Drosophila melanogaster: one gene and its partners. Changing the gene in region 1 together with any one later gene gives a genetic interaction. Each region holds a gene or a part of one and is shown on either strand. Other genes may lie near its edges.

What was found.
Region 2: of Ctr1A (region 1) and ATP7, changing one suppresses a phenotype caused by changing the other (phenotypic suppression), as found in Drosophila melanogaster (2 studies listed by BioGRID).
Region 3: of Ctr1A (region 1) and Grx1, changing one enhances a phenotype caused by changing the other (phenotypic enhancement), as found in Drosophila melanogaster (one study listed by BioGRID).

What each region holds. Positions count from the first base shown.
Region 1 is NC_004354.4:6,657,233-6,670,422, reverse strand, and holds Ctr1A (copper transporter 1A), read right to left. Parts: upstream 8,777-13,190; 5' UTR 8,622-8,776; intron 8,184-8,621; exon of another isoform or gene 8,082-8,183; intron 6,760-8,081; exon of another isoform or gene 6,662-6,759; intron 5,424-6,661; 5' UTR 5,379-5,423; coding exon 5,345-5,378; intron 5,262-5,344; coding exon 5,050-5,261; intron 4,985-5,049; coding exon 4,737-4,984; intron 4,184-4,736; coding exon 4,154-4,183; intron 3,574-4,153; coding exon 3,372-3,573; 3' UTR 2,795-3,371; downstream 1-2,794. Other genes in the region: CG3224 (uncharacterized protein), read left to right, coding at 9,251-9,739; Cdc7 kinase, read right to left, coding at 11,268-12,816.
Region 2 is NC_004354.4:11,850,959-11,861,172, reverse strand, and holds the start of ATP7 (ATP7), read right to left. Parts: upstream 6,152-10,214; 5' UTR 5,822-6,151; coding exon 4,852-5,821; intron 411-4,851; coding exon 1-410. Other genes in the region: CG10347 (uncharacterized protein), read left to right, coding at 6,515-7,772, 7,832-8,316; p24-1 (p24-related-1), read left to right, coding at 8,911-9,543.
Region 3 is NT_037436.4:18,862,183-18,870,557, reverse strand, and holds Grx1 (glutaredoxin 1), read right to left. Parts: upstream 1,329-8,375; 5' UTR 1,228-1,328; intron 1,221-1,227; exon of another isoform or gene 1,132-1,220; 5' UTR 1,056-1,131; coding exon 912-1,055; intron 852-911; coding exon 747-851; intron 682-746; coding exon 586-681; 3' UTR 501-585; downstream 1-500. Other genes in the region: Blos3 (biogenesis of lysosome-related organelles complex 1, subunit 3), read right to left, coding at 1-130, 188-250; Dysb (dysbindin), read right to left, coding at 1,754-1,854, 1,913-2,678; CG14074 (uncharacterized protein), read right to left, coding at 3,209-4,219; CG6865 (uncharacterized protein), read right to left, coding at 5,137-5,292, 5,355-5,650, 5,964-6,302, 6,771-6,837.

The DNA of each region.
Region 1 (13,190 bases):
TCAAGGATTCTTCTGAATTTTACAAATATCTAAGTACTTTCGCTTGCTCTATTTATGATATGATAATGATAATGAATGTATAAGAAACTTAGTCTTTGAGCCTTGGAAAGCTAAACTTGGAAAAGGATCATCGGCTTGTCGTGAAAACTCTACATATTGCAGTTATTTATTTATTTTTTTTTGTAATCCCTAACTCATTGTTGTGGTTTTCCGCCCCCTCCCATCCTTCCCCTGCACTATACTCTATTTTTTAAGCTTGAAAAAAAAAAACAAAAACAAAACTAACCCCAGCGAACTCTTCAAGTCAAGATTCCAAGACACCCACGAAAAATCACGAGGTAATTGAATTGCTAAATCGAATTAAATTCTAATCAATCAAATACAATATACAATGCAAAATGAAGAAGCACAAGCATAGGCAGTGATCAGAGGGAGACAGCAAACAGTGCAAAGACAGAGAGGGCGAGAGAGAGAGAGTTCGAGTCCCCAAACCCATACACATGTATGTATGTTCATGTTCCCCCCTCCTCTTCACCAACAGGTAAATTGCGACTGAACCCGACCCCATAAAAATTATGATACTGATATTTGATATCGATCTCGATTAAATCGAATTTTTGTGATGTGACGAGATAAGCCGTTGGCTAAATCTCCGTCCAAAACCAATCGAATATCCCGTAGCTGTATGTTTTGTACTGTTCGTGCCACACAATCTAAGATATATATAAACCCCACACTCAGATGAACTCTGAATACGTATACGTAATCAATCTATATACACGTTCAGCTCGAAATTAGTCTAAGATGCGCTATCCACCTTTAACTGCCCCGAACTTTTGTCTGGCTCACTTAACTTACACTTTCCTCTCTGCAAACGTATTCCAGAAGCCGCCAACCGAGGAAAGGAGCCCGAAAGTGTTGAAATAAATGCGAGGGATATATATATATATATATATATATACATATATATATGTGTATATATATGTATAGAGAAAGAGGAAGATATATATGGAAGATATGCATATGTCTATAGATAAAGAAGAAGAACCAACCAGGTAACTTCTATGCCACACCTCCACACATAAATGTTTCTTCACGACAGAGAAGGCGATATCCGAGATCCGAGATCCGTGAACCGCACTCCTCGATCCATAAAACGCAATCAGGAAATCAACGAACGATCACTTTTCAGTGATCAGAGAAAGACAGAGAGAGAGAGAGAGACAGAGTGCTAGAGAACGCTGAAAGAGACAGTGAGAGAGAGAGAGAGAGAGACACTCGTGTATAACTGTATTAGGCATAATACAAAACGAGGTGAATTTCCATTTCTCTCAACTACTTATAACTATATTATATACATATATCTATAACTATACCCATTACTTCCACCCATCCTTGGATCAAAATTAATATTGCATTGAAAACGCCGGGTTGTCAGTTAACGAAAAATACTATGGAGCAATTTGAACCGTACACATATATACATTATATATATATATGTATATGAATGTATGGTCGCTTTTGTTTTGTGTCCGCGCAGGATAAGCTCCTTTTTTCTATCCCTTTTCCTGCGAGGAACACACCTCTTCCCTGCCAGCATCCCAGATCCCATCCACTAACCCAACACTCCACATTTTTATTGTTTACCCACAATTACGTAGCAAATTAATCAATTGAATTGAGTTAGCATCGGGCAAACAGAGTTAAGGAACATTTACGAAGGCAGATTTAAGTATAATAGTGTAACCCAATCAATAAAACTTGATCGATCGTCTTTAGTCATGTAAAGATGTTTTTAATTACGAATTACGATATGAGTAAGGATAAACACATTCTATTGAGAGACTCGCAATAATTTTCTAATAAAGATCAAACTAAATCCCGAAAAAAAAAAACCAGCAATCCGTTGTTTTCTTTGCAATCATGATAAATGTAGTGACGAAGCGCACCAGCCAGCGGTAATGTAAAATCATGCGCGTTTGTTACTAGACTTTTCAGATTTTCAGCATGGACGATCGTGACAATGAAAATAAAATAGGTAATCGATCAAAAACGATTCGAAAAATGAAAAACAAAATTTTCTGTTGTTAATCTTTGCGTGCTAAAATAAAAAGAAAAAACTCTTCGTTTTCCATAACTTTCCATTTCAAAGACGTTTTCGTTTCAGTTGTAACAATATTGTGTTTGTTTATTCATTAATGTATGTATATGTAGATTTAATATATATTTAATATTAATAGTATTTATAAATTTCTTGTCGCTTTACTGTATGTATTTGCATTAAGTTTAATATCTACAACATCTATTTACGCACTTCAATGGATCAGGTGAACATATGCTGCTTACAGTGCGTTTCGGGACATTAAGGCAGTACATAGTATGTAAATATATATGCACTTGGGATGGCCGGCCATTCGTTTAGGAAAGCAATTTCACAACAGCCATTTTCGGATTGAGCAAAAATCGTACGACTGTTTTTACGGAGTCAACTTGCAAAAAAAAACAAACAGACAACAATTTACAATTAGCAGTTAAAATTAATTGAATAATACAGTAACTGTTTTCGAGCCTAAGGTAATATCAGTTGAACCTGAACAACACGTAAATGCAGAGCATAAATCGATGCTAACCTTTGCATACACCAATTACACTCATGAAACGCACTGTTGAAGCATACACTCAATCAAGCCTTAAAACATTCGCGGCCAAGTCAACATTTCACAAGGAAGCCAAATTTAACAGTGTTGTCTTTTTGTGGGACTAACAAACCAAAAGTGAAATATATATCTTATATATATATATATTTATATAAAAACAATGAAGTTTATTACAAAATAATAATAATCATAATCGTATAATTGGTTTACAAAATGGTGTATATCAGTAGTAATGATCAAAAAAAAATATTTGCTTTTTGGGGGAATCCTGCGCACATACATATATAAATTGAGTAGCAACGGAAAAAATAATATTTGCATTGCTTAACTTTATACAATTCGCTAGCCAGTCGCTCAATTTGTTCTCTTTTATATAATTACACTTTTTTCTTTACTAATAGCATAGACTATCTTGATCTTGATGTCAATATTTTAAAGATTGTAAACGATGCAGCGCGGTTGCATCGATTTAGTTTAGTTTATAGGCTAATACCTAGAGAACAGCTGCAATTGCTGCAAGGTTTGTTGAAGTGCGATCGTGTGTATATATGCGTGTGTTCGTTTCCTGTGGGGATGAGAGCTTCCTGGGATTCCCAGCTTAGCACCAATGCCTCTGCCTTTCATTCAGATGGACATTTGCTCCTCCAACGCCTCCGTCTCCGTTTCCATCTCGGTAAGACAACAGCGACTTAGGCTACCGGGAGTCGTTCTCTGTTAGTGACAGTGCTCGGTTACGTCCACGATAACCGATTTCTTCCAGCAGAAGAGGAAGTAACCAACGGCGGCGCCCAGGACAACCATCAGGCAGAGCCACACGTTGTATGTCATGAAGATCAGCATGAGCAGGAAGGACAGCGTCACCTGGAGCACGTGCAGCAGTGTCTGGAGCAGGTGGTTAATCGACAGCATCGAAGGTCTGTTCATATCGAAAGAATTTTACATTTAGTTATAATTAAAGCAAACATCGAACAAAATTAGCAGGACAAGAAAATATACATAATTGAACGTAAACAAAAATCAAAACAGAACTAAGTATTGCTAAAGACTATATATATATATATATATTTATATATCGCTGAGCTGCTCTAAGAATTTCCATTGTTAGATTAAACTACCATTATTGATTAGGGTTAGATTCTCTCTAGATTAATTGCCAACTTGAGCTACAGGTGTGTAATACTATATCTTGTGGTCCAGCCAGATATTCTGTACAAATGACGGGCCAATTTGTAAACCGACACGGATTCATCGTCGCCGCCGAGCGCAGTTGTTTCCATTAACTTTTTCCCATTAACTGGCGCATTGGGTATATCGGACATATCGGATAGCCAACAACAGCTAAATAGATTTAACTAATTCAAATTGTAGTGAGGCATCAAAATTACACAGAGACGGTAATCTATATAACACATATGTACGTATGTATGTATATTGATTGGGCAGGTGGTCAAGTGGTGTACATATACATATGGTGTGGTCAATGGAGCGATACTTACGGTTGCTTGTGCACAACTTCGCCCACGTATCTAAGAAAGGATCGATCGAAGCGTGCCGGGAGTAGGGACACCACACGATTGCGGATGCGATTCGCGGATGCAGATGCAGATACAGAATCAAATTGAGTTACAATATATATATGTTTAGTTTCAATTACGGTCGCGTGAATCACAACAATGGCCAATTATACGATATTAACGAGGCAGACCGTATCGATATGAATTTGGTTTTGAATTGGGTTTCGTTTAGTTTTTTTTTTTTTTTTTTGTCGAGATGATTCAATTTACAAATGAAGAGCGACGACGCGCATTGATGATGATGCAGATAGAGATATTGATGGTATTGATCAGAATGTGAAGCGGTAGCGGTAACGATTTGAACGATTTAACGGGTAACAGCATAACGAAAACGAAACGAGAAGAGAGAAGAAAGCATTAAGATTAATATATACAACAAGTTAAGTAAATACAATAGATACAAAGCTACAGTATGGGTAAGGGCAACAGGCATGCGAAGGGGATACCAAAGATCCAATATGATCCATTCCATTCTACAATGGGTAGCAGAAAATCCGAAACTCACTGAACGGGCGATGGAGCTGCCGCTGCCGGCGATGGTATGCGCGGTGCCTCCGGATTTCTTTGTGGCCCCGTCACAGGTCGATATTCCAGCAGATTGTATGTCTTCCAGAATAGATACTCGCGGTAGTACTTCAGTCCCTCGTACATTAGGGCCAGCAGGAAGATGGCGATCATGGAGCCGATCAAACCGGCCACTGTTTCGATGTGCCACCAGGAGAACAGGATCGTCTCGTTGTAGCCAAAATGGAACTGTTACGATTGAGGAACATTATTTGGTTAGAAATGAAAATTCTTCAAATACTACGTTCTCTTACCGCCATGGGCATCATGTGCTCCATTCCCGTGCCAGAGCCACCGCCATGATTGTGCGCTCCGTGAGCGGCGTGACCCGCGTGACTTGCCTGCAAATCGCTGGTATCGGGGATCAGGTCGAACATGGAAGCTGCATCCATTGGAGACGCTGTCGCAGCAGGTATACCGCTGTGATCGTGGTGCATGCCCACATGATCGTGATGCATCGAGTGATCTGTGGATTGCGAATGATATAGATAAGATGCTAGATGCTAAGCAGGCATCTTCAATGTTTTGGCCAAATCACACAACACCTACCAACACCGGGCGCACTGTGATGGGCGTGGTCCATAGCAGCTGGTTAACCGACTTCTTATTGTGGATCTGCGATTAATGACTGCAAAGAAGAACGGAGTGAAAGTCGCATTAAGTCTTTGCCACTCGTAAGTGAATAATAAACAATGTACATAAATGATAGCAATGGCTACAATGGCGGCCAAGATAATAGAGCTTTCTCTATATAAATTCCCCATGAAAGGTTTAAAGATCAAAACAATCTTGCAACTAAGCTGTTATTACTATCTAATATAAACACTGTAACATATATATTATATTGACCATTTTTATATTATTTTTATTTTTGTAAGTCTAAAGTTTGTGTTTTTTTTGCGGGTCAATTGCCAAGCCCCAAATCGCATCAAAAACCGATATATCTCAATTAGAAAGTCAATCTCTGAACAATCCAACCTCCGCCCTTTCCCTTTCACATCTTCGAAGGGAATGTCCAATGACGAATGCGAAATGTGTAGCTGGGTAAAACTGTGTAACTGGGGAATGTGAAATGAAAATGCCACACATAACTCTGCGTGCTCCATTCACAGGAAACTGCGTGAGGCAGACCCGACACCCGATTCCCCACACCCCCGCCATAAACTACCACCATATCTGACCTTGGATTAACCTGGATTATAATGGGTCGCTAACGACTCAACCAACTGCTGTTCCACTTCTGCAAATGGGAACACTGCGAACCATAATTAAACAGTGCTGGATACTTCATTTATTTCACTTTTTTGTTTGCCTCTGTGTCTGTGGTTCACCGCATTCAGTTAATATCGCAGTTTTAGTGATAAGGTGCTGCGACGACACCACATTGCAAAGTAATCAGTGAAACATGCTCGAATATCGAACCACTTGTGGCATGCAGTCCAAGAAGCTCGCTGCTATGACAGGATGTGCGGCTGACTGATATGAGTTTAGGCATACATAGGCAAAAACCTCTAAAAAATGATCCCAACTAATGATCCATTCCTTTGAAATTGTGGCCTACTTCCTTCGATATCCGTAATGTGGACAACTGTCGTCAAGTTGAAATGGTCGAAACAATAATCCAGTCCGCATTAATATTGCAAGCAATCACATTCGCCAATTCCATTGAAGAGTTAAAACACGTATTCCTCCCCCTTTTCACTGTAATCAATCTCATCCCATATCTCATTAAAACAAACAAACGAGCTTTAGAAATCCACTCGTGGTACAAAAAAAAAAAAAAAAAAAAAAACCCGCTTCGCTGGCATTTTTGTTCTGAGGAGCGAAATTTCTATAAAAATAGGTAAACAAGTGTACATTTAAAACCTCTTAATGCGGCGATCTGTTGAGGAACGGATTGCTTTAGCCTTCAAGCGATGAACTCAATAGTTATCCAACTGAACTGGACTGGCACAACTGGTTAACTGGTTGGCTTGGCTGCCACTATTTTCGGTTTTGGCCCGAAATGAAAGGAAAATTAGCTCGGTTACGGTAGTAATTTGTTTTTCAAGACAAAGATCGGTACGGCAACCAACGACTTTCAAAATAACCCATAAGCAGAGAACATACGCCACATAATTGCTACTCTGGGATGCAGCAATTGTAGTTCGATTTGGAAATAATCATTGAACACAGTGGCGGTGGGGAAAAACTATAAAAACTATTATTCTGGTGCAAAAATACAGAAAAGTTAAAGTTCAGGGTAAATTTGCGTGGTTTATAAATAACATTCTGTGGTTTGTTTGGTTTCTATGGAATCCCTGATAGGAAATCGTTTGGGCGCTTTTCTTTGGGAGGCAATGGGAACCCCCTTTTCAGCGCCTCTGATAATTAAACAGCAGAAAACTAACGCACTGGGACCAAACCGGTTGGACCTATTCACCTCTATCACTCTCGCTTTTATTCGCCTGCATTAGTAGCTTTGCCTTTACACAGAGAGAAAAGCATTTGTTACTCTTATCATGAAATAAACCATTATCACTAAATATTGTTTAAGATTTGTATATTTTCTAGTTCTATTTTGGGCAAGTAATAATGAATAATCTGCGTTTACCAGTAATATTTCTATTATGCTAAATGCTAAGACTCAGCGAAATAGCTAAGATATTTTGATATAAGTTTGAAAATGGAATTTCACGACGTGATGAAGTGTGATTCATTATTCATATTATATTAAAGAATTAAAATAAGAATTGAATTAAAATTTAATTTAGTTCCAAATATCAAGTGAAATTTAAACGATCTAGCAACGTAAACTTTTTTCTTTCTGTTTATTTGCATGGACAAATGGCATTAACCGTTGCTTCATCTCATCAGCTGATCTCCGCCAAGAGAGCCCCATCCTCTGCTCCTGCACACACACACACACTCACAATCGCACCAATTGCGAAATGTCAAATCGTGACCGACATGTATTGCAGCAACAAATGGGAGAGAAACGGCGAGAGTGCGTGTGTTTTTTTTCTATTGCAGGCCGGGGGAGCTATTATATCACATGTGTAAAGAAAAGAGAGTAGGAGAGAGTTTGTTGATCTGAATTCGAACATACATATATCACTCAACGCACGAACACAGATAGAGGGTTAATTGTGCTTGTAACGGTATAATTGACTGATAAGCGATTGGCACTGATAATCACAATCGGTATGCAATCGCTGATTATCGATAAGGACTCCTAAGCTTTGTTTTTAGTTTCGTTTATACTATTTCACGCATTTCGCGTTCTTTTTGTTGTTGTTGTACTTACTGCAATTGGCGGGCAATTGGCTCGAGTTGTAACAATCTACAATGTATGTATGTATGTATGCTGTAACACCGGTTTAAGTGACGAACTCAACGGAATGTCTAGCTAAAAACAGAGAGTCAACGAAAAATGCCAATAAGCCAACAGTCGTACATTTTAAACAATGCATGCAGCTGCCGTTGACACCCACCCAACCCCCTGCACCAGTCATTTAACAACAATCACAGTTTCTGATTTTATTTTGTGCTTCGTTGTTGCTTTTTGCGCTAAATCACACACGCACACACACTCACTGCAAACGCTGAGCTTTTGAAGCAAGCGAGATAGCAAGAGTGGACCGGCTGCAGCATCTTATGAAAAATAATAATTGCTTTAATCGTTTTTGCAAGTGTAAAACCCGATCTATTTCACAGTGTTGTTATCCAATCACACATGTGTGTGTGCGTCCAGCCCACACACCCACTATTTGTATTATCAATTGCACTTTATCAACGCAAGTTAAACCGAACTCTATGTTTATGTATTCAAATGTTAGGGGCTTACTTTACTTCCTGCGGCAAGGAAATAAATAATATTAAAACAAAATGCGCACGGTCCGCCCGCAGACAACTTGTTCGCACGATTGTTGATGAATTAATTGCAAGCATATGTTTTTTTATTTAACAGTGCGCTGCCTACGAAAAGGCACTAAATAATGCCAAAAAATAGTATTGTAAAAGACGAAGTAGATGGAGTGCAGCTTAAAAATGAGTAACTTATACAACTTATTGTCGCAACAAGTAGCTAATTTATGGAATTTTAGTTTAATTAGTTTTGGTTGAATTTAGTTTTATTTCGAATAAATAAAAACAGCTGTGTATCAGTGTGCACACACCACGATTTCTTCAGTTATCGATAAGAAACCAATCGGCCGGGGACCGTCGCCAACATTCTATGTGCGCATTAAATTAACTTGTTACCTTTAAAACCCTCGTTTCTTAACCAAAAAAAGGTAAAGTTAAGCAACAAATTACTGTAACAGTATATAAATTAACATTCAAATGCATTACAGGTTTTAGGAAACACCTAGCAGCAGCAGCAGAATCTAAAACCCCATTGGCAACCAAAACACGTGCCAAAACAAACGATTAAATTTTCCGTAAAAGTTGTAAATATAAAAAAAAGTCAGCAAGATGGGAATGGTATCGAAACGCAAGAAGATGCACTATGGCGATACCCATCTGCAGAGGAGATGGCGTGTGCGGAATCGACGTCGTGATCTCGACCAGATCGACGACGATCTGCAGACCCGGAGCGGTGAACTGATCAATCAGAATGTGGATCTCGACAAGCCGGGATTCGCGCAGTTCTACTGCGTGCACTGTGCCAAGTACTTCATCGATGACACCGCCATGCAGGCACATTTCCGCACCAAGGTGCACAAGAGGCGTCTCAAGGCCCTAGAGATCGAGCCGTACAGCATCGAGGAGGCGGAACGCGCCGCGGGACGTGGCAGCTTCGTGAAGCCCAAGAAGCGGGCGATGGAAACGCAGCCATCGAAGGAGGACGTGGTCGCTGGCAAGAGGATCCGAGTGGAAGTGGTGCCCGAGGATACAGATGCCACCGATTCGCCATCGACGTCCAAAACGAAGCGCAAGAAAGTCGAGAAAATGGAGACATAGGCGAGGAGGATGAACCAATCTATTGATCTAGCTTAGTTTTTAAGGCCCTCGGGGACAGGACTTTCTTCACCCCCCTCCCACAGAACTCTGTTTACCTCCAATTGCTTTCTTTAAATACATTTTTTTTCCAACATATATAAATCGATTCAAAATTAATTTTCATTTAATGCGCGCAAGGGTGGCGAAAGATCAACAAGCTTCTAAACAACAAGCAGTTCAACGCTTCCAAGCGGCAAAGCTTTATTTACCGTTCTTTTGATTTCTCTCCTGCAGCTCAAAAGTTCAAGTTCTCTCCGCAAGCGGTCACTTTCTTCGTCCGTGAGCAGCGGTAAACACAAAATGCGATGGCTGACGCGCTTTAAAATTAAAATTAAATAAATATCAGCGTCGTTTGCTGTCGAAAAGTGCTACAAAGTGTAATTAACCAGTGAGCGCAGGTCGACGCAATGCGTTTGATACGGTATTTCTAGTTTAAACGGGTGAAATTGGTAAATTTCTGCAATTTCCTCATTCTCCTTTGGGCTCATTCTCCGTTGGCGCGTGTGTGGGTGTGTTGGTGCGTGTTCAACTGGCATTCTCATGTGCACTTAAGAGTATGCTACGTTTTAGAGCGGTGATCTTGTGCATTTTGCCATCGCGAGTGTTTTGTTGTGAAATGGCTCATCAAAATGTGAGAGTATTTGTGTTTTTTTTTATATTTTTTTTTAGGTGATTTGTGCTCAATAAATGTGAAATTAAATAATGTACAACTTTAATTGCATGGATTTATTTTGAAAAGGGTGAGTCATTTAAATTTACACTTTAATTTTATGAGTCCTATATTTGCAACTGAAATATAATGAATAATTTAACGTACGGTAACAACAATATGCGTACTAAAATCCCCAAGCATTTGTTTGTTTAAGCAAATAAAGAATAATTTGCACAAATTTCCATTTTTGGAGCAAAGAAAATCAAGGCCTTCATTCAATCTTCACGGTATAAATATATGTATTTGTCGCTCTTATATCCTCGTTCACATGGTTTTCAGATATACAATAATTATACCTAAGTAGGTTAGCTACAAGACTATTCGAACTATACATGATGGGGATAGTGCAAAATTCTTTGCCACTGGGCGATGAGGGCCATGCACTTGGGTCGCCTTCGTGTTCCTTAATATACAACATTTTGTAGCCTTTCGGCCACAATATTTCATAATCAATCTCTCCTCGTTTGCTTTTTTGGTATTCCTTGCCCATTTTGTTCATGATTGAAACATTTCTTTAAATATACATTTGTATGTTTGTTTGTGAGTGTTGTGTGTGTTTGTTGCGTGGTTTCATTTGGTTTTATCTGCCTGCGGCTTGAGGTAAGTAAATGTGGCCTAGTGGGGCATTGGACGAGTTTCTTCTGGCTCTGGGTGCAATAATGAGATATGCTCTTGAGGTGGGTCTATATATATGTACAATCATGATCAGCGAACTGGGTATAGTATATGTATGTATGTACAAGTGGTGTATGTATGTTTGCATGGTGGGGACTAGTTTCACAGCTTGTTAATGGCCGCTTGCTGCAGATCAAGGGCAACCTGCTGCTTGACCTGCTCCTGTGAGGCGGCCACCGTTCTGTGACTTTGATATCTTTGTCGACGCATCTTGCGCGGCGTTCCATTGGCCAACTGATCCTGCTCCGTCTGCTCGGCCTCCTCGGCGGCCGTAAAGAATGGATGCTTTAGTGCCTCTTCGGCGGTAATTCGTTTATGGGGATTAATCTCGAGCAGGCGATCCAGTAGGTCATAGGCGCTGGGTGGAAAACATTCGTATGCGTCCAGTGGCTCTGTCAAGTAATCGCTATCCTCGCATAGGCAGTTGAAGAAGTATTGATCACAATTCCGGCACACTTCGCAGCTTCCGTCCACAGATTCGTAGCTCTTGAGGAGCTTGGCATCACTAAAAACGGAACGATAGCGAAAGCGCAGGCACAACTTTCGCAGATTCAGTGGCCTGGACCTCTGGCTCAGGGTGATCATACGGTCGAGAGCCAAGGCCGTCTTCCGTATCGCCTGATCTCCAAATATTGTTACAATCTCGGCCAGCGCGATAAAATCGTTGGGCGCTTTGAAAAACGGATACACCGTTGACATGATCGAAAGGAATATCACACCCGCCGCCCAAACGTCCACGGCAGTGGTCTGATCTGGGTACTTGAGCAGAACCTCGGGCGGCCGATAGCCAGGTGTTCCTGCCCTGGAGGCGTGCACCTCCTTCTTCATCAGACAGTTGAGGCAAACTGAGGGATTTGCAAAGCAAACGCACTTGGCATTATTAGCCGCTGCTGCCGAGACATTTCGATTCGTATTGTACTTGCTGCCAGATGGCGTCGATGCTGTTTGATCCATCTGCGCCAGTTGTGGCTGTCGTTGTGGGTGCTGCTGTTGCGACTGCTGCTGCGGCTGCTGCTGCTGTTGCGACTGTTGTTGCTGCTGCTGTTGTTGCTGCTGCTGTTGCGGCTGCAGTTGTTGCTGCTCTTGCTGCACTAGCTGTGGCTGGACGTGATTGGACCCATCTACTGACTGCTCCGGCGCATCGCTTGGCGCAATATCGTTGACCGGTTTCAGGGGCATCTTGTTGGACTCCTCGTGCAAACGCATACGCTTCACTGCTCCACCCAAACCAGCATCCAGCGCAATTTGCTGCACATCCCCCTTTGATTCGCGCTCTCGTGGCCGTTTGCTATTATTATTGTTATTATTGTTGTTGTTTTTGTTGTTGGCTGCGGCGATGGCGGCGGCACTTCCGGAAGATCGCGCAGCCGGAGGATTCACATGCTGGGCCAGACCGAAATCGACGAGGAGAAACTCTCGCCGACGTCGATTGTAGAGAAAGTTGCTCGGCTTCACGTCGCGATGGATGACATCGAACTTGTGGACATGACGCAGTGCCACCAGGAGATTGCGCATATACTGCCGGATCTCGGGCACATCCATGCGCGTGTAAAAGTCCTGGAATCGGTCATGTGCCATGAAGGGCATCACGAAAGCGGCGGAGGCGTCATAACGCATGCAACAGTGGATGCCCACCACGTTCTCCTTTCCCCTGAGAAGCGAATTAGAGCGGGAAAACAATAGATTAGTTATGCAGTTATAGTTTGAATACGCAGCTTTTGGCTGTAATTCCCAACCAGTGATTTGAGCAACAGGTGTCCACCAACCCTGATTAACTTTAAGGGTAGTTAATGTGATTAAGCTAGTCACACATCAAATTAATTGAACTGAACAGCAGGATTTATGCAAGTCAGCTTTACCATCTTGTTTATGTTGCTTTGTTGTTCCGTGTGGGAAAACCACAACAACAACAGAGACGCCCACGCACACTTCCGCCCACTCCATTTCAGTGAGAGAAAGAGAGAGACAGAGGGAGAGAGGAATGGAAAGGGAGAGTGATTCTTCGACGTCACGTAGAACCAGTGC
Region 2 (10,214 bases), 5.2 Mb from region 1:
CGAGATGGTCGTGACCATCGAGATCAGTACATCCATGTTCGTGGTGCCGTGTTTGATCGCACGATAGGATTGCACATAGAAGTGAAAGCCACCGAAGAACTGCACTGGTGTCGATAGCAGGAACATCACCAGATTCTCCATCGACAGGCCGGGCACGAGGCAGCACATGTTGGCATGTCCCTTGTCGCTCATCTCCAGCATGAAGTATATCATGGCCACCATGCAGGGTCCACCGAAAATTAGCGAGACGAGGAAGGCATTGCGCCACTTCCGTATCTCCTCCTTGTGCTCCAGATAATTGTGGGCCATCTTGTCTCGGCCGGTCATCAGTTTGGCCTCGAATCCCAGCGCCTCGATCGCCTCGCAGATGCTCCGGGGACCCGTCTCCTCCGTGATGTACCGGAATTTGCCTGTAAAAATTAAGATTAAGATTATAAGTTGATAGAACTTAAATATCATCTATTAAAATCAGTCGAATAAGTTAATTATAGTGACGTAGTATTTATTATTCCTCCTCATTTCAGCCTAGTTAGTTTCAATTGGTACACTGAAAAACCGGACTTGTTTCATGTGCAACTTTTACAGAACCAGTCGTTAAAAAAAAATAGAGAAAGCCACTTTAAATGGCCAGTGAATATTCACATAGGATATTTATCAAAGATTCAGTTGATTGAAGTGAAAGCTATATACTGCTGATCTTTAATAACGATATTTGCTATGCCAAGCGTACAAGCCAAGAAAAATAATGAAGCCGCATGAGCTTTGTATATCTAGGGAATTGAAATATTACTACTTTTCAGGTATATTCGATTTCATTTCCATGAGTATGTGTAAGTGAATCTGAATGTGCACTCGCATATCTGAATGCCATATCAATTTCATCACAGTTTCTGGAGCTTGTTAGCACATTTATATGGCTACTCCTGTGTTTTGACAAGACACCAGCGAAAACTCTATAGGAGAAGGGCTAGTGTTTCCATATGTTTCCTTGGACATAGACAGAGGAACCTAGGGAATTTTTGTGGGTTTCCTTTTTCCCTGGCGTCAAATGAAAAGTGTTTGTACACCGTCGTTGAGTGGAAATAATGCCGGTTGTTCTGGTATTGAAATTGGAGCATACAACCGGTTCGATGGCGACAGATTTGATATAAGCAATGGCTTATAGTTTCTGGTTTGTGAGCTACATACATTTGCCTCATTTCACAACTTAAGGCAGTATTATTTGCCCATATAGCAGACATGTGGCCAAAAACTATCGCATCATTCAGTCGGATTATAGAAAAATCCGTGGGGCTCAGAGGCTCCGGGAATCTTGGTCACAAAATATCGCAGCTGTAGGTTCATTGCCTTTCCCCGCCAGCACAATTTGTAGATAAGATAGCTTCTTTTTAACTATGTAGAATGTGTAAACTGAATCGCTGCCGTTTCTCTACATGATTAGAGCATGTTGTCGCCCACAACTTTGGCCCGCAACTGGAATTTCTCGACATTATTGCCATCTGTTGGCTATGTTATTCCCCCAGTAGGTTCTCCCATTCATCGTCTTATTAGTTTTTCACATTTCCGATCTTTATTTGAAGAGGGGAAATTGTCACTGGCTTCAATTGGATTCATTGATAAGCGAGCAATCGCCATATACCATACTCATCATACAGTTCTATAATGAGTTATTCCTCAAGCCAAGAATAATTTTAAAGAAATTATAGAATTATTATGCTCGTTCGCAGAGGCCAAGAAAACTGGTTTTAGCCATCGGCTGCGCTTAGTAATACTTTTATTTTATTAACAGGCACAACATTTCAGTCTATCAACATTTGTGAGCCTGCATACTTTTTGCCTACTCATTGCAATCGTTGTTAGTTCAACGTTCTTATCAGAAGTGGGAATAGAACAAAAGATCATTCTGTTTCGTTTCGTCATCGCGTAAACTGTAACTAGGCAAATTTACGTTTAGATTAGAGCAACGGTTTGTTTGAGTCATCTGTAGATATGCCTTCAAATTAATAGCATAGATTGAAGCAAAGGGAATCGCTTGGGAGCTGACAGAACCCATGATATCATTATTTATCGTTCAATTAGAGGGCCACCAAGTGGACACCAGACGATGGGTCGTGTGCAAAATTGAGGAAGGATTAGGTTGATCACACCGAATGTGACAATTGTCGCTAATTATCAGTGCTACCGATCGATCTTAGCCCACTTTTCAATTGATAATTGATGCGTTTCGTGTGTTTACACAAGAAATTGCTTTTTCGAACTTCATTTTCGAATTTCAACGAATCAAAAGTAAAGTAGCAAAAGTAATATATGTGGGTATCTTAATCTATCCCTTATGAGTTATGCAAGTTCCACTGCAGTCGTCGAAATATACATTTTCTAGGGCTCTCGATTCAGTTTTTTTGTTCTTTCTTTCTTTTATTTGCCCGCCCATTGCATCTTATCGCCCGCGATTCGTTGTTACAATTTTAGAACATTTTCAATTTGAATTGAGATTGCCTGTGGTTCGTTCTCTGTCGTTCACTTATCGCCGGACGATAAGAATCGGAGGAAAACATATGTTTTGCTCAACAGTTTACATTCCCAATTTCGACTACCGACTTGCGGCAAACAAACTGCAAACAAGCCAAGTAACAATTGGCAAACAACAAGTTAAGCTAGTTAAATGAAGTTTAAGTGCTAATTGATTGAAAGATAAGAAGCCGCACGGAATTGGACCAATCCATATGGCAGAAGTCCAACTTCGCTGGCCCAAAACATCTATGAACTCTTTCAGAAGCATGACTGGTACGTAATTGTTTTTCGAAAATGATTACAATACAATTAAGTATCTTAATAAGTATATATGTAAATTCAAAATAAACAAATAAACTTTAAAAAAACAAGCGATATTGTACTTTATATACCATCATACAGCTGCCAGCGATTGATATTCATGTGGGCTCGCTGTTTTCATACCACTTTTGAATGTCTGAAATTATTTTCAGTGTCATTTAATCGCAACAGTTTCGCTCGCTTTTCTCCACCGTGCGCATGTCTCCATGTCGAATGCGAAAAAATCGAAAACCAGTTCCATTGCAATCATAATTACGAGGCTCCCCATTTATGCATTTTCATTTTTGAATTTGCAATTGAGCTTCTCAAAACGGCGCACGTACATCTAGTACATACATAAATACGGGTATGCAAACCGATATTCGTAAATCAGCCAGAATTCAATGTGAATGTGGTGGATCAAAGCCAAGTTATTGCATAATTCGCCACTAGTTCACTAATTTCAAATCAACATTTTTGAGCTGGCAAAGCAAAAGTAAAGTAAAAACAGCTCTAAATCAAAGTGAAGGTGAATGAAACTAGAAATGCACTCGAAGAAAAAGTGCGTGCTTAACATAAAATAAAAGAAACTTGCTAAACATTGTACGATTCGTGCTTTTAAATATTAGTAGATTTTATATGCTGATCATATGCCGAAGTAGATAGCACTCTTCTATATAATACTTATATCATAGTTAGCCCCATTTCTCGCTGTGTACGAAGTGGAAGTGGAGTTCGTGGCCACGCATGCGGAGCAGAAAGACTGCAAAGCTGAAAAAGAGAGAGGTTTCCCTCTTTTTTTCCAGACAAAAGCGAGATTAGTTCCTCGCTCGTTTGCCCGCCAATCGCGGGTATATAAATTATTATACATTCATACATATATATGTACATACATTATATGTATGTACTTGTATTTCAAGGCGTATTGGAGCTCTTTCACTTTTGTTTTGATTTTTCTTTGGCCAGGCGGACTTTCAGTTTCATGGCTTAAATGCTAATTGGTAAATGCGATTGGCAGTATAAAGTTTATGAAAACAAAGAGCTCAAATCATTTCATTTGTTCTTTGTCAGCTAATCGCATACATAAATATGTATATATAAGTTCTTCCTGAACACTCGCAAAAAACACGCTATAATCTGGCAAATAAAACTCGAGCTGCCAGCGCCCAACAAAACAATAATTATATTATGTGTTTTTTAGCGAATATCTTGAATATTTTAAATATCCCGACTCTCGGCTTGCCATTGAATTCCCCTCATCCAAGTGTTCCAGATAGCTTTACTGCCCACGCACACGAGCGTGGTGAATTCCAGCTATTTAATCTAGTTGCCACTGGCATTGTTTGCTGAAAGCATAGTTAGTAGTGTATGGTTTATAAAGTACATACATACATACATGCATATGAGTATAGTGCTCCTCGCACTTTCTTATCAACGAACCTGCCACCCTCCCCAGAAAAAAAAGCATAAAGTAAATCGAGTATATCAGTTGCAATAAACAATTGCTGGGCCAGTTTTCAATTGTGGAAATTGTGAAAAGCGAACAATAAAAAAAAAAAAAACATTTGCACCGATTCTACTCGAACTCGATGCTAGTAGGTTAATAAAAAGGAACAGCTGTCGCTTTCTGCGAAATGCAAAACAAATAAGGGCATTCTACGAAATTCCCTTGAATGGCTTATTTAATATTTGTTATTGCCACAAGTTGCATCAATTAACGATTGCCAATAGTTTGCTTCTGTTACAGCTCATTACTCCCATTGCATTATTCGATCCCTTAAGATATACAAGATATATGATCGAATTTAACACCTGTGCTCGTTGGGCAAGAATAAAGCGCAACAGGTGCATATCGGTTGATGGCCCCATTCCAGGTGTTTATTATTATAAATATTGCATAACAATTGGCACTGCCACTTGTGGAATGCTTCCAGACTCGCAATTCGATTCGAATGCATGACCCAGAACGTGATTTGAAATTCTCTCGGGATAAACTAGTTCCAGAAAGCCACTTAGCTTAAGTACACAAAAAACACTCACCCCTCTTTGTTAGCAGTGTGACGGAGGCGGTGGTCACGCCCCTTATTTTAAGCACATGACTCTCGATCTTGTTGACGCAGGAGGCGCAAGTCATGCCCATAATCTCCAACTCCACCTCCGCCTCGCCGTTGTCCGGCTCATCGATGAGTTCGGTGGGGAAGCCCAGCTCCGTGATTGATTTCGCTATATTCTCGGCCGTCACAACATTGGCATTGAACTTGACCTCCGCCTTGGCGGCCAGCAGGGCTACCAGGATGCTGTCCAGGCCGTAGATCTTCTTGCAGTGCTTCTCGATGGCGGCCACACAGCTGGCGCACGTCATGCCTCGGATGTGCAGAAAGCATTTGGTCAGTAGCTCCTGTTCGACGGGTATGGCCACTGCCGAACCATTTTGAGCATATGAAGGAGGTGGAGGAGTAGGAGTTGCCCTCTTTTTGGGTGATGAGGCGGGGGCGGGCGACGGCGATTGGGATGGCGATCGAGGTTCCTGCACACTAGCCTCAAAACCCATGTCATCGATGAGCTCGGCTATCTGGGCGGGATCATACTGGGCGGGATCGTACTGAACGCGGGCATTCTTGGCCGCCAGTTGCACCTCAATGGAATGGATGCCCGGCTTGGTGCCGATATTGCCTTCGATGTTGCGCACGCACGACTGGCAGGTCATGCCCACCACCCGTATGTTGGTCCATGCGCTGGCGGGAGTTTCGGGAGGATCTGCTGCATCCCCTGGATAGCTGCACTCGAAGCCCATGTCGTCGATATCGCTGGCTATCCGGGCGGGATCCGTCTGTCGGGGATCGTAGTCGAAATAGCCCGCATTCTCCTCGAGAATGACGCGCACGCCAAGGATTCCCGATTTCTGGCCAATGTGCTCTGTGATATTGCGCACACACGACTGGCAAGTCATGCCCACAATGGGCAGGCGCACCGTGGACATCGTCGCTTCTACTCTCTCGTCACTTGGCATCCTCAATGTGCATTATTTTGGGTGGGCGGAACACGACGATGCGGAATTACTTGATATACTTGAGATTTTGAACTTTTGAGTTGCCCCTCGCCCTATCGCACGTACCGAATTGTGTCACTAAACTAACTTTGTGGAGTCGGGTGAGTCGTATTGCAGCTACTACTGGATTTGTTGTGGTGGAGTAGTCGCCTCCCGCCAACGCTTTTCACTTGGCCAAACTCCACACGAAACTCACAATTTTGCGTTCTTGTGTCTAATTTTTCAATTAGCAGGCAACAGCTGCTCCGCTCCCGTTATGTTTTTCCCACGGCACGCAACTACCGATGGCCGTCCGTCGATAGGCAGGCGCTATCGAGATGAGCTAGATACCGATGTGGGCTATATCGATACATTGCTTAAACTTTCGATTCGATAAAAAAATATGTGACTAACTAATGTTTTCTTTTTAGCTATTTAATTGTTTAGTTAAATTTCAAACTAAAAAAAGGAATCTTATTAGATTTGAAAATTGCCAAGGTATCGTACATATCCCCCACTTGTCGATAAAAAGTCGATACGAGTCACGGCCGAACGGTCATCTGCCATCTCTATCCGGTCTACTACCGATTTGATTTGATTTGTTTTGGAATATCTATCTCTATTTTTTCGAAATCTCCAATATAATCCAACTCAGCATTGGCGCAGTAAAGCAAGATGCCGGTGGTGGAACTGAAAGTGGATCGCAACCTGGTGTGCTCGGACTTTTCTGGCTACAAATTGGCATTCGATTCGGTGCCTGTTCTTCGCCAGGAACTTGGATGTGATGCCTACGTGCTGGATCCGAGCAGCAATCAGTTCTCGCTGCTGCACACGGAGCTCTTTGCCCGACACAATCACCTGGTAGCCGATCCATGGATGCGCCACTGCAGCTACTTCTTTAACAAGCGCCACCAGCTGGTGCAGTGCAACTACGATCTACAGACTGGACGCGCACGTGCCCAGCGCGTTGTCCTCACGGTGGACTATAGGGATCAGGGCGATGGGGAACTACATCGGTCGGGTGACTACAACTACACCATAGTTTTCGTTTCGGAACGATTCTGTGTGATCTGCGACGGTATAACCAGTTACCATCTGGTGGACACCGGCGACAGAACGCGCACCGATGTGCAGGAGTGGCAACGGATTACACGCTCGCCGGTGAATAATAACAGTGGTCATCGCGGCTTTGCACTCTTCGATGCCCGGCTGGATGTGCTGCAGGAACGTAAGCAGATCTCGCTGGTGGCCGGTCATGTGGCACGCCGTGATGCAGTTGGCCAAGATCAGACGCACGTCTATTACATGGACTTGACCTGGGCACGGTGGACTCATTCGCCCACCAATGACGAGTGGTCATATAATATCTGTCAACGGCTGGAGACCACTGGCTCTGTGCACTACTGCGCCTTTGAGCCTCGCGCCGAGTCCCTAGTCATTGCCAGCAACCGCGATGTTCAGACTCCCGAGGAGCGTCGGGCAGCCGATGAAGCAGCCGCTGCCCGCTTGAATTCCTCAGGTGATCACGATGGCCAGCTGGAAAATGGAGGTCCACCTAGTTATAGCTGGTCCCAAACGGATAATAATGTGCTCATTCGTTTCAATGTTCCTTCAACTGCATCCGCTAAAGAGTTTAACGTGAGCGGTTCTAAAACCACTGTCGTTGTAAAGCATCTGGATGAGGTTATATTCGACGAAGAGTTATACGCCAGTGTGGGAGATGATTTAAGTGCATTTAAGTTGGCTGAGAATGGCCTAGAATTGTCACTAACCAAGGCGGAGATTCAGAACTGGCCACGTTTGTTCGCGCAGAAGAAAGATGACGTAGCGGAGGAAGTACATCCAATGGAAGCTCCACCACTGCCCATTCCAAGTCTGCAGGATCCCGTTGAAGAATGTGACTTAATATCCGCTGATGAAGAAATGAAGATGGGTAAGCATTCTATTATACATCTGCTGCATATGCTTAATAAATACATTTTCTTCTTTTAGTACGCTTCAATTTGACCAGCGGGTGCATCACCCACACTATTTTTCTTGGTCCCCCGCCACTGGTGCTCACCACCACGCTGCGTCCTGGCTTTCCAGCCGCCTTTGCTACCCGCCAGGGCGTCGACGCCTCCATATGGCTACAGATGTACCAGCCCAGTCGTCCAGATGAATGGAGTGTCCGCCACGAGGGCCAGCTGCACGCCTTCGGCTACGTGCAGGCCTCCAAGGTTGTGCGGAAATTCACCGTCTGCAGTCCGGATCTGGATTACGTAGCCATATGTGACCCTGTACGCTACGTTCTCGTCTACTTTCCGGCTAATAATTCGGCTGATGGTCTCCGCAGGCGAAACGGACCTCCCGTCACCTTGGGTAAACAAAAGCTCATCACCTTGGGCAACGAGATTGACGAGATTCTGGGCATAACCACGGCAAACAATCTGATCACCGTTCTCTCCAAGAAAGAACTGATACACCTGCAGGTGTAGACGGTGTTCCGCTTTTCTTTTTTTCTCCATTTACTCTTAAAGAATTATGGCTTTACAATTCAAATTCTGAAATGTACATTTTTAAAAAATTAGTACTTTTAAAATTTATAATATAAATATATAAAAAAAATATATATATGTAAATTTTTAATCATATATGTATACAACTATGTTTATTGTTAAAGTTTATTTTTAAGTGCTTAACAATTTTTGATAATGGCGCCAAAGAAAAAAAAAGAGTGGCAACTCTGCTGCTCAGTAGCCGATAGCATATACGTGGGTCCGCAGTGCTGCACAGCGAGTGGCGGAAAAGAGTGTTGACACGTCAGAACCCCAGACCTATCGTGCGGCGAATAACACAAAACGCCGAATGCTGGCGATATCGATAGCATATCACAAATAACAAAAACACGTCACGTAATCCGGACGGAGGCTGGTAAGTAAATGGAATTGGAATGACAGGTGGCATAGCATTTGGCCGGAATCTTGGCACTGACCGAGCGCATTTCTTTTGCAGCTGGAAGAATAACAGGCGGTGAAGCAGGGAATCATACGAATCCAGCAGGGAATACCAAAAAGCAAAAAGGGCGAACCATGAACACACAAATCGTTGTATTTGCGGTAGCTCTGATGATGCACTGCATCTCTGCCGTCGAATTCACCTTCGATCTGGCCGATAACGCGGTGGATTGCTTCTACGAGGAGATCAAGAAGAACTCGAGCGCCTACTTTGAGTTCCAGGTGTCGGCCGGTGGCCAATTGGACGTGGACGTCACCCTGAAGGATCCGCAGGGCAAGGTCATCTACAGTCTGGAGAAGGCCACCTTCGATAGTCATCAGTTCGTTGCCGAGACAACGGGCGTGTATACCGCTTGCTTTGGCAATCAATTCTCGGCCTTCTCGCACAAGATCGTCTACGTGGACTTCCAAGTGGGCGAGGAGCCGGCTCTGCCCGGTGTGGATGAACATGCCACGGTGCTCACACAGATGGAGACATCGTCGCAGGCGATTCACAAGGGCCTCAACGACATCCTGGACGCCCAGACGCATCATCGACTGAGGGAGGCGCAAGGTCGCAAGCGGGCCGAAGATCTCAATCAGCGGGTTATGGTCTGGTCATCCCTGGAGACGGCCGCAGTCATCGTGATCGGTCTCGTCCAGATTATGGTGCTGAGGAACTTCTTTACGGACCGAAAGCCCAGCCAGGCACACTACGGGCGGCTGTAGAGGATCAGGTTTCATTTTGGGATCTAGCTTAGTTCAGAGCCCTCGGATGGAGAGGGTCTCCTCCAATACCCAACTGTCCAAATCCCCCGAAATGTTGTCAATCTCGTCTTAGCCACAACGTATTCATTACCCCCCCCCCCCCTCAAGGGCGTTTCTTTTTCGGGCAAAAAAAACTCCCTAAACGACACATGTAATATTTTTTGTTAAGACCCCTCCCGGTAAAATACATAAAAAGGCCAGAAAATACATTAAAAAAAAACCAGAACTCGATAGCTAAAGGTACTCACAAAGCGTTTCAATAGAAGGGCGTCAATGGGGCATGAATCTCGACCAGAACCAAGGAAATCGAACAACGAATCGAAAACCCCTTTTGACTAGAGCAATATTTCGAGCAGTAAAAGATTCAAGCACTATGGAAATGTATCTTAATTTCAATCTGGACACCAAATCAACTGAAGTTTCATAAGGCAAATCAACATATTCCATTTCAGATGGCGTGGCCGCTATTATACTACATATATATAGCTAAGATCTGTACGTATATATCTTCCAAAATTCAGCTGAGTCAATAGAAAAGAATGTTAGATTAAGTTTCAGTTTCTATAAAGGAAGTTAATATACAGATATGACATCAAATTGAATGGATACAAATTAAAGGAACCACGAATATG
Region 3 (8,375 bases), on another chromosome or scaffold:
GTTTCCGCTGAAGCAGATTATTCCGGTAAATGGAAGCCGTGCTGTTGACCTGGTTGCTGCTTCGGCCTTGCTCGTAAATGTCTTCATCATCCTCTTCGGAGGCTTCGCCCGAAATTTCAGCAGCAAAAATCTGTCACAAAATGGTTTTATTATTGGACTGTTATTTATAAATGATATCCTCAACAACCTTATTCTTCTCCTGCAGCTCCTCGTCGGATTCAGAAGCTTCACCGCTCACCAAATCAGCCATCATTCAGTTTATTAAATACTATTGTAAACAATTTTTTATTTACTGCAGTTACGGCGCTGCCAGATCAGTTAAAACTGCAAACTGTTGCTCACATGGGCGCAGTTGAAGGGGATATTCTTATGTTTGTGATATCTATGCTAACAGATCCGTAGAACTACAATCATAAAAATTATTAACGGATAATGAATGGTATTAGTAACACTTTGCCCATTACTCAGAAGACGATGTAATCTCAATAAGCGCAAAACATAAATTTTAAAAGCATTTATTAAGGACTTTGAAGATTAACAAACTTTTTACATAAAACGGAGTTCTGAACAGAGTAAGAACACTATTTATTGGAAATATTTTTGCAGAGCTCCTGTCTCGAACATTCGTTTGATGTCAGTGCCACCGCCAATGAATTTGCCATCGATAAAGACGCGGGGAACCTACACAGTACACAGGTTACAAATGATAATTAATCTTTATAATGTAAAATATTTAGTGCACCCACCGTTCTGGCACCGGTAATCTCGCCCAGAACTGCCTGAATTTCGTTGCCATCGGGATTTCCATCGAGTTCTATTATGGTGGCGTCCACATTGAGCTTTTTGAAGGGCTGGAACGCAAAGATGTTTATCACTGTTTGGGACTTTTCAAGGTCTCGCAACTTTCTCACCTCTTTGGCCATCGTGCAGTAGGGACAGTAGGTCTTGCTGAATATCACCACTTTGTTGCTGGCAATGGTGTTTTCAACGAATTTCGCCTGCTTGGTGGACATGTCGACTATTGGGGATCTCAAAGCGGATCCAACTGCACCCATAAGCTCGAAATCCAGGAGGGGGTACGGAAACTTGGGGGGCAATGCGGGGAGCAATGAAAGCTGCGACAAGTGTAAGCTGCGGAGAATTATCTCTAATTTAATCAGTTTTTTAATCATTGATTAGCAATCAGCTGTTGTTGCTCTCGCCAGAGCTGCCACGTTGTGAAATTACCATCTCGTAATCATAAACATGTTTAATATTTAATTTAATTTCCATATAATCATGCTAAGTTTAAGGAATCTATTATTGTGTGTCTATTAAGAAAAGAGAAAATCGACTGTTATAAAAACAATGTTTATTCAGCGCTGTCAAAACATGCAGTGACGGTGCCACATCAACAAATTTCATATACACTAGGGGGATTCCTGAAAATTCACTTTTACTTTGACTTCATTATTTGAAACTTATATTAAATTTGCCTATATTTTGTCCGAGATAGTAAAGCAATTTTGAAATTACTTTAACAAATTATGTTAAAATGCCTTGTATGTTAAAATAATTTGGCATTGATAATTAATCTTTGTATGTCCAATTCCCTTTAATGTAATAGTTTAACGTTCAAATGCAGTAAGAAAATGTTGTGAAAAAATTAAGTTATTTTTCAGAAGTCCCCGTTAAAATATTTTAACAATTACACTGCTTATTGCACTTAAAGGCACAAATTGTAGTCTTTTGCGAGATGAGCAAACAATGTGAGTTAGCCATTTAGAAATTGTTCCAGAGCATCCTTTGTCTCCACTTCGTTGGCTTCAAGGACGACTTCCTCCAGAGCCAACTTGTTGCTGGTGGTTTGAATTTCTAAAAAAAAAGGGGCGTTAACTTAGTGCATCATATTTGTTTATGTTATCAGACTAACTTGTCAGCTGGCCGCGCTGTTTGTACTCCTCCATATCCTCCCGGAAGGCGTCGTCGAAGACAGCCTGTCGTTCCCTCTGCAGCTTCAGGAGGGTCTGCTCCTGATCCTTGATTTTGGATTGGTGTTTCTGGGCTATTTGCTGGCGATACTGCTCCAGTTCGTTCAGTTTCTTTTGCTTGTGCCGGGAGAGCTGAAACTGCTGCTCAAGGATGAACTCTTGGAGCTCACACTCCTCGCGCAGATCCTCCAGCTTCTCGAGCTCAATCTCCAACTGCTTACCCATTTCCTCCAGGGAATTAAGAACCTGTGAGCTGTTTTGCAGTTGGGCTATCAACGTGGGAATTCCCGCCAGACTACTGTTCAGCTCACTCATGATCCTGTGCTGATGGCTGGCCTGGTCTTGGATGCCGGAGATTTGGTTAGCAATCTGCGCAGCCTTCTCCGCGTTCTTTTCGTTGGCGCCATGAATCTGCTGCCAATCATCCTCGTATTTGGCAAGCAAACTGCAACCAGCTGCCACATTTAGGTGACTGGGCACTCCATCGGTTAGCTGGAAGGGAGCACTAAGGGAGAGGCTACTGCTCCTGCTGGACGACAGACTTTCGTTAAGGCCCAGTGGCGAAATGGGGGTCGTAATCCCACTGGCTTGGCTACTCCCCGAGTTTCCGGAACTGACACGCTGGCGATATTGCTGTTGCAGATTCTCCGAGATCACCAGGCCCTCCTGGATCGCACTGCTAAGCTTCTTTTTCAGGTTCCCGAACATCTTGCGACAACGGATCTCTATTTATTTAACTTAGCGATTTCTAATTGTCTTCGCGCTGGCGTTTTCCATCGAAAATTGAGTGGTAAATAAAGAATCAGCTGTTCGGGCAGGTGCTGAGAGAAAATCGGTCATAGAGAGAGAGAGAGAGCAACAGTTTGTTGCCGTACACGAGAGGCATATCAACTATGGCAAGAGCTCTGGCACGTGGTTTTTATTACTTACTAAAACTAATAAGTATTATTAACATTTCAAATTTTGCATTTTTATTTTATAATTTAAATAAAAAAATGAACCCAAAGTTGATATTATAAACAGACACAACAGGGTATCATTCGGTGGTATATTTAGTATATTACTATTAAACATAACTTAAAAAAAAACCAACCAAATATGAATCTATCTATGGCAGAGCTTATATCTGTAATAATAATATAAAAACAATATTCTTAGTTTGGTTCAACTTCAGTTTGTTTCCTTTAAAATTTCATTCTGATCTTACATAACGATTCTCTAACTAAAGTTTAGCCTAATTAATCCTCGGTCAGGTCCACTGTAGTGACAGCTGTGCTATCGTCCACTTGTTGATTTGTGCTATCCGATTGAGACGGATATTCAGGTTCAGACGCAGGTTCAGTTTCACATGCCTTTTTTTTGGGCTCTTCATGGTACTCAATTATCTCAATATCACTATTATCACCAGATTCTAGGGTTATACAGCTGCGTACGCTGTTCTTTGCTTCTGAATCTGAGTCCGAGCTTGATTTATTGCCGCTGGACTCGGAGCTCGAGCTTACTTTAATGGTGAGAACATTTGGCTCTTCGTCGCTGGATGAAATGGACAGGGCCTCGGGCTTCTCGGATTTGTCCACCTCTTCGTCGGACATAAGTTCCCGGAATATATCGCTTATAGGAGAGGAGGAGTGTTCCTTAGACTCGCTGGCTTTCTTTTGGCTGCTCGGGTTTAGTAATTGACCATAGGCCATGGCCACTGCAAGAGCCATTTGCTTGGAGTGGTTTAGGAACACATCTGAAGGCGGGGGTATACGTAACGACTCGCTGGGTGCGGATTCCCAATCGCAACCGCTGCTGCTCTGGCTGCTTCTTCGTCTTCTGTGTGATTTTTTGTGTTTTTTAACCTTCTTTTTGCGCTTTTTTCGCCGATGTGAACTGCTGCGACTTCGACTGCGGCTTGAACTTCTGCTGCTCCTAGTTCTTCTTCGGCTGCGATGCTTCTTGGCCTTTTTGTGGCGGCTCCTGCTGCGCCTTCTGCTGGAACTTCTGCTTCTATCAACACTTTGAGTTCTGGGTGCATCGCGGCTGTAAAAGTAGTTGGACTTCCTCCTTTCGTGCACATCATCCAGATCCTGCAGCTTCTGTCGGCAATTTGCCTGTGTGCGCTCCTTTTCTCTATCATTATGCCGAATCGCGGTGTTTATGGTGCGGCCTAAGAAGCGTTTGTTTAGTTTGCCCAGAGGATTCACTTTGCGTTCGCTTTGTTTCGAGGTGCTGACACTGGCATTTGCACCTTCGATCTCGCGCATTAGCTCGGCAATCGCCTGACTAACGTGAGAGCATCAAATTAATTAAAAATATATCGGATTGTAATATAAATATTTACTTTGTTAGGTCTGCGTCCATTTCCATTTTTTGTGTTTGTTTATGGCATTTAATTGAATACCAATTGCTGCGAAACAAAAAATACCGCGGACGGTAAGTGCTACTTATAAGTATTTTTAAAATACTAAGTATAAAGCGATTATTGTATGTGCGTTAAATTAGCGTCGATGAGTTCGCGGCGATGACGGAACGGTGGAAATCAAAACATGGGGACGTTTTTTATTTATTTATTTCTTTTCGTTATTTGGAGGTGAATTGCAAAAAATAAAATAAAGATCTTACTAACTATTCCCACATTTTCGGGAATTTCTCCACTCGTAGAGCGTGACCACTTTTAAGGACATTTCTTTAGGGAAACGGCGGGGCAGACGTCAAGACATTCGTTGGGCCACGGGTGACAGTCGGTCGGGCGGGGCAGCAGGTGGGACAGTAAGCGTGGGGAGCCAAGTTTTCAAGTGCATATTTCATATACTTTCTTGAGTCCTATGAACTTAAGTCGTACATAGGTAGTTAGATATTTTTTTAAACGTTATTGCATTTTTTTGAATTCAATAATGAAAGAATAAATTATTCAAAATTCCATCGTTCCTCCGTTCCTCCTACACTAGCGATATTCTTGTCGATTAATATTGTCAGAGTAATCTTTTCTGCAAAATACCACAAATTAGTCCAACGATATCGATTGGCACAATCATCGATTAAAGTTTAAAAAATGACGACCGGCCGCAATAAATTGAATTTCTAGTTGGTTAAAGTAACGTTTATTGAAGAAGATCACATAATCGAGTACGACTAATATCACAGGTGAATCACAATCTTTATGTTTCAGATTCCTGGCCAACTATTTCCTGCCGTCTATCACTTTCTGCATCCAGGACACGTATTTACTGACGCGCGTGTAGATTCCGGGCAAACCTGGACGTGCACAGCCGATCCCCGTGGACACCACGCCCACCAGATGATGCTCCTTGGACATCAGCGGACCGCCAGAATCCGCCTGTGAAGGTAAGTAAACCCGGAGCATAACATGTGTGCCGTATCAGCCAAGTGAATACTCACCCAACACGAGTCGATTTGACCGTTTTCATAACCGGCACACAACTGTGTCTCTCCAATGGTATTGCTCTTGCCCAAGGATCGGTAGGACCTCTCGCACGCCTCGTTGTTCCAGATCTTAACGGTAGCCTTGCGCAGTACATCGGATCGATCGTTTTCCGCTTGGTTCTCGTGCGTCCAGCCCCAACCGGAAACTGTTCCGTACTCCTGCTCCAGACTTCGGTGCCCCTCCTCGGATCCCACGCAGCTGGGCTGGATGTGTGAAGAGAATCGGATTGGCTGTACCAGCTCCAGGAGGGCTGTAAAAGAATAAAATACCAATTTGCAATAGCTTAAGGAATACTAAGAATAATAAGTATTATTTGATTCGTCTCTGATTCATTATGGTTAATGTTAATATCCTTTGTTGAAACTATTTCCTACCTATGTATTTCTGTTTGTTTTTTTAAAACCTAAGCGCATATTTTTAATGGTGTTTTACTAGATTAAAATTTTTTATTCATTTTACTGAAAAATAATGTCATGTTAATGTCATATTGTTGATTTATGATTCAGTTCTGTACATATGGAAAATAATTGAACCTGCAATTACCCCTTAAAAAACACACATACCTATATCGTGTTTCACATCGTTGCAGTCGTATTGCGGATGGGGCACAATGTTCTTGAAGTCCACCCTCAGTGCATCCGGACCGTTGCCAATCCCGTTGAGGTACTCCCTGATGCTATGCAAACCCACAACTCCTTGGATTTGAGCTGGTTTCATGAACTGCTGCAGCCCATTGCAGATGCAATGTCCCGCCGTGAGGATCCATCGCTCCGAGATGATAGTGCCGCCACAAAAGTGACCACCACGACGCATCAGACTGACCATGTAGGGCATTTCGTTGCGCTCCGCCTCACTACCTCCCACGATTTTTGGATTTCGAACCGAGCATGGCTGGTTGCTAACTGTCATGGGAGTCAGAGGAATTTCAATTTGCGTGAGTTCATGATAAGGAGTGTTGAAAATAATTAGTTAATATAAGCAGAACGCATTTATTTATATTTCTCATAATCTAGTAAACTTTTCCTTATGCACGTTTTATGATTATACAAGTTTTGATAGAATCTTGAAATATTTGTAGGTTGAGTTCTTATCAAATAGGGAAGCATAAACTGTTGCAATTGGAACATTAGATGTTAGATTTATCCAGTGAATTTAGCATATAAATCCACAATGCTAAAAGATCATGCTTTCTTAATTGATATAAACTAACCTAAAATATTAAGGACTGCAAAAATGAATGGAATATTAAACACAAGTTAAAAGTTAAAAGGTAGTTCCCAGGAATCCTAATTTAGGAACTATAATTATTTTATTTTTCATATTATATTTGACTTATTACTCTTTTCGTCACATTTGTTCAATCAACTCACAAGCAATTTGGGATTGTGCACACTTCACTAGCGACAGAACCGCGACTACGAATACGATTTTCAACATTTTCTGTGTGCACAACCAGTGTTCTTAGCCCCGAAAAAAAACCCGTTAAGCACGGCTCAAGCTTAAACGAAACTGCCACGAATATTCTGTGCGGCAATTAATTTATATATAGGTGTCTGGGCGTCCAGCGCCTCTCCGTTCCACTGACTTACTTCACTGTCGTCCGGAGTTCTATGCGGATTAGCCGGAAAGCTCGCTCTCTCGGCCTGATAACAAACGGAAGTCGCAGCCGGGCCTTTGGCACCTGTTGCCTCAGCTGAGAGCTTTTTTTGCGCTGCACTACCTGTCTCATCGCCTTTTTTTTTTTTGCTGGTATTGTGGGCATGGGTGCCATGTGCACACGTTATGGCATTTCAATTGCTCCAAGGGGGGGGGGGGTGAATTAAGGAGCTGCCGAAAAGTCGAAAACAAACCCAAAAGTAAACAATGGCCGAAATAAAGTTTTGTGTGTTTTGCGTTTTATGACCCAGCGAAGTTCATGACATTGAAAAGTGCGCGACAAAAGGTGTGACAATATTTATGCTGAATTTTCGATGCCACCACTACGAGTTTATTGCACCTCTATCCTTATTTTAGTACATTATTATTGCGATTAGCACGTATTTAGGGTGTTATTGAAATTGTTGTATGGTTAATAAAGAAAAGGGTGTAAATATTATTATGACTTGTTAATCAACTGAAATGCTATTGCATAACTACAGAAAATTTTATAAATGATTCAAAACCAACTCTTTTGATTTTAAATTTCTTTTTGCTTGCATGTAGTATCTTTTATTTCTTCAGTTCTTATGATTTACAATGCATTTTTGTGTTCCTACAAGATCTAATTTATCTAATCTATCTTAAGAAAGTTAAAAAAGTTTCTAGGATTTGCGTAATCGTTACAGTTATGTCATTGCCTGCATTTGACACAATTAGTTCGCACATTGCAGCTAACCTTAGACGTCATATTTCCATCAGTTTAGACCTGGTAGTTAGTAATCGGGCCTGTTATGCAAATTAGGATGTCTGCGCTGCATATGAATACTGTGATGGGACCAAAAATTAATTGAAATTCAATGTCGGCGCAATCAATGTAATATTAGCCGCTTGACATTAACATTGCCCTTAAAACTAACGCATGGCCCACACACTCAATGCAATTGGCGACATGGGAAGGTTGATACACCATCCATCGCATATCAAAGTGATAAATGCAGGTGGAAGTGCATTTCTATGACATAATATGTATTATAAGCAATAGCATGCCAAAAATGATGGGTATTGAAGTGGGCAAAGCAGGAATTGGAATTGAAACTGAAAGTTAAGACGGAGTATGACAAATCTACAGACCAAGGCATTAATAATTCATTATCCACAATCTCGATTCTCAGTCGGAGCACACAAATCAGTTCAGTGGATCAGACAAGTATGCCAGAATTACTAATTGATTTCATGACTTTGGTTCCTTAACCGAAAACCAGATAGCATCCCAATCGAGTTCATTGATCGCGGCAGCTCTGTTTCGCACTAAATGCTAATTCACTAAACAAATCGCC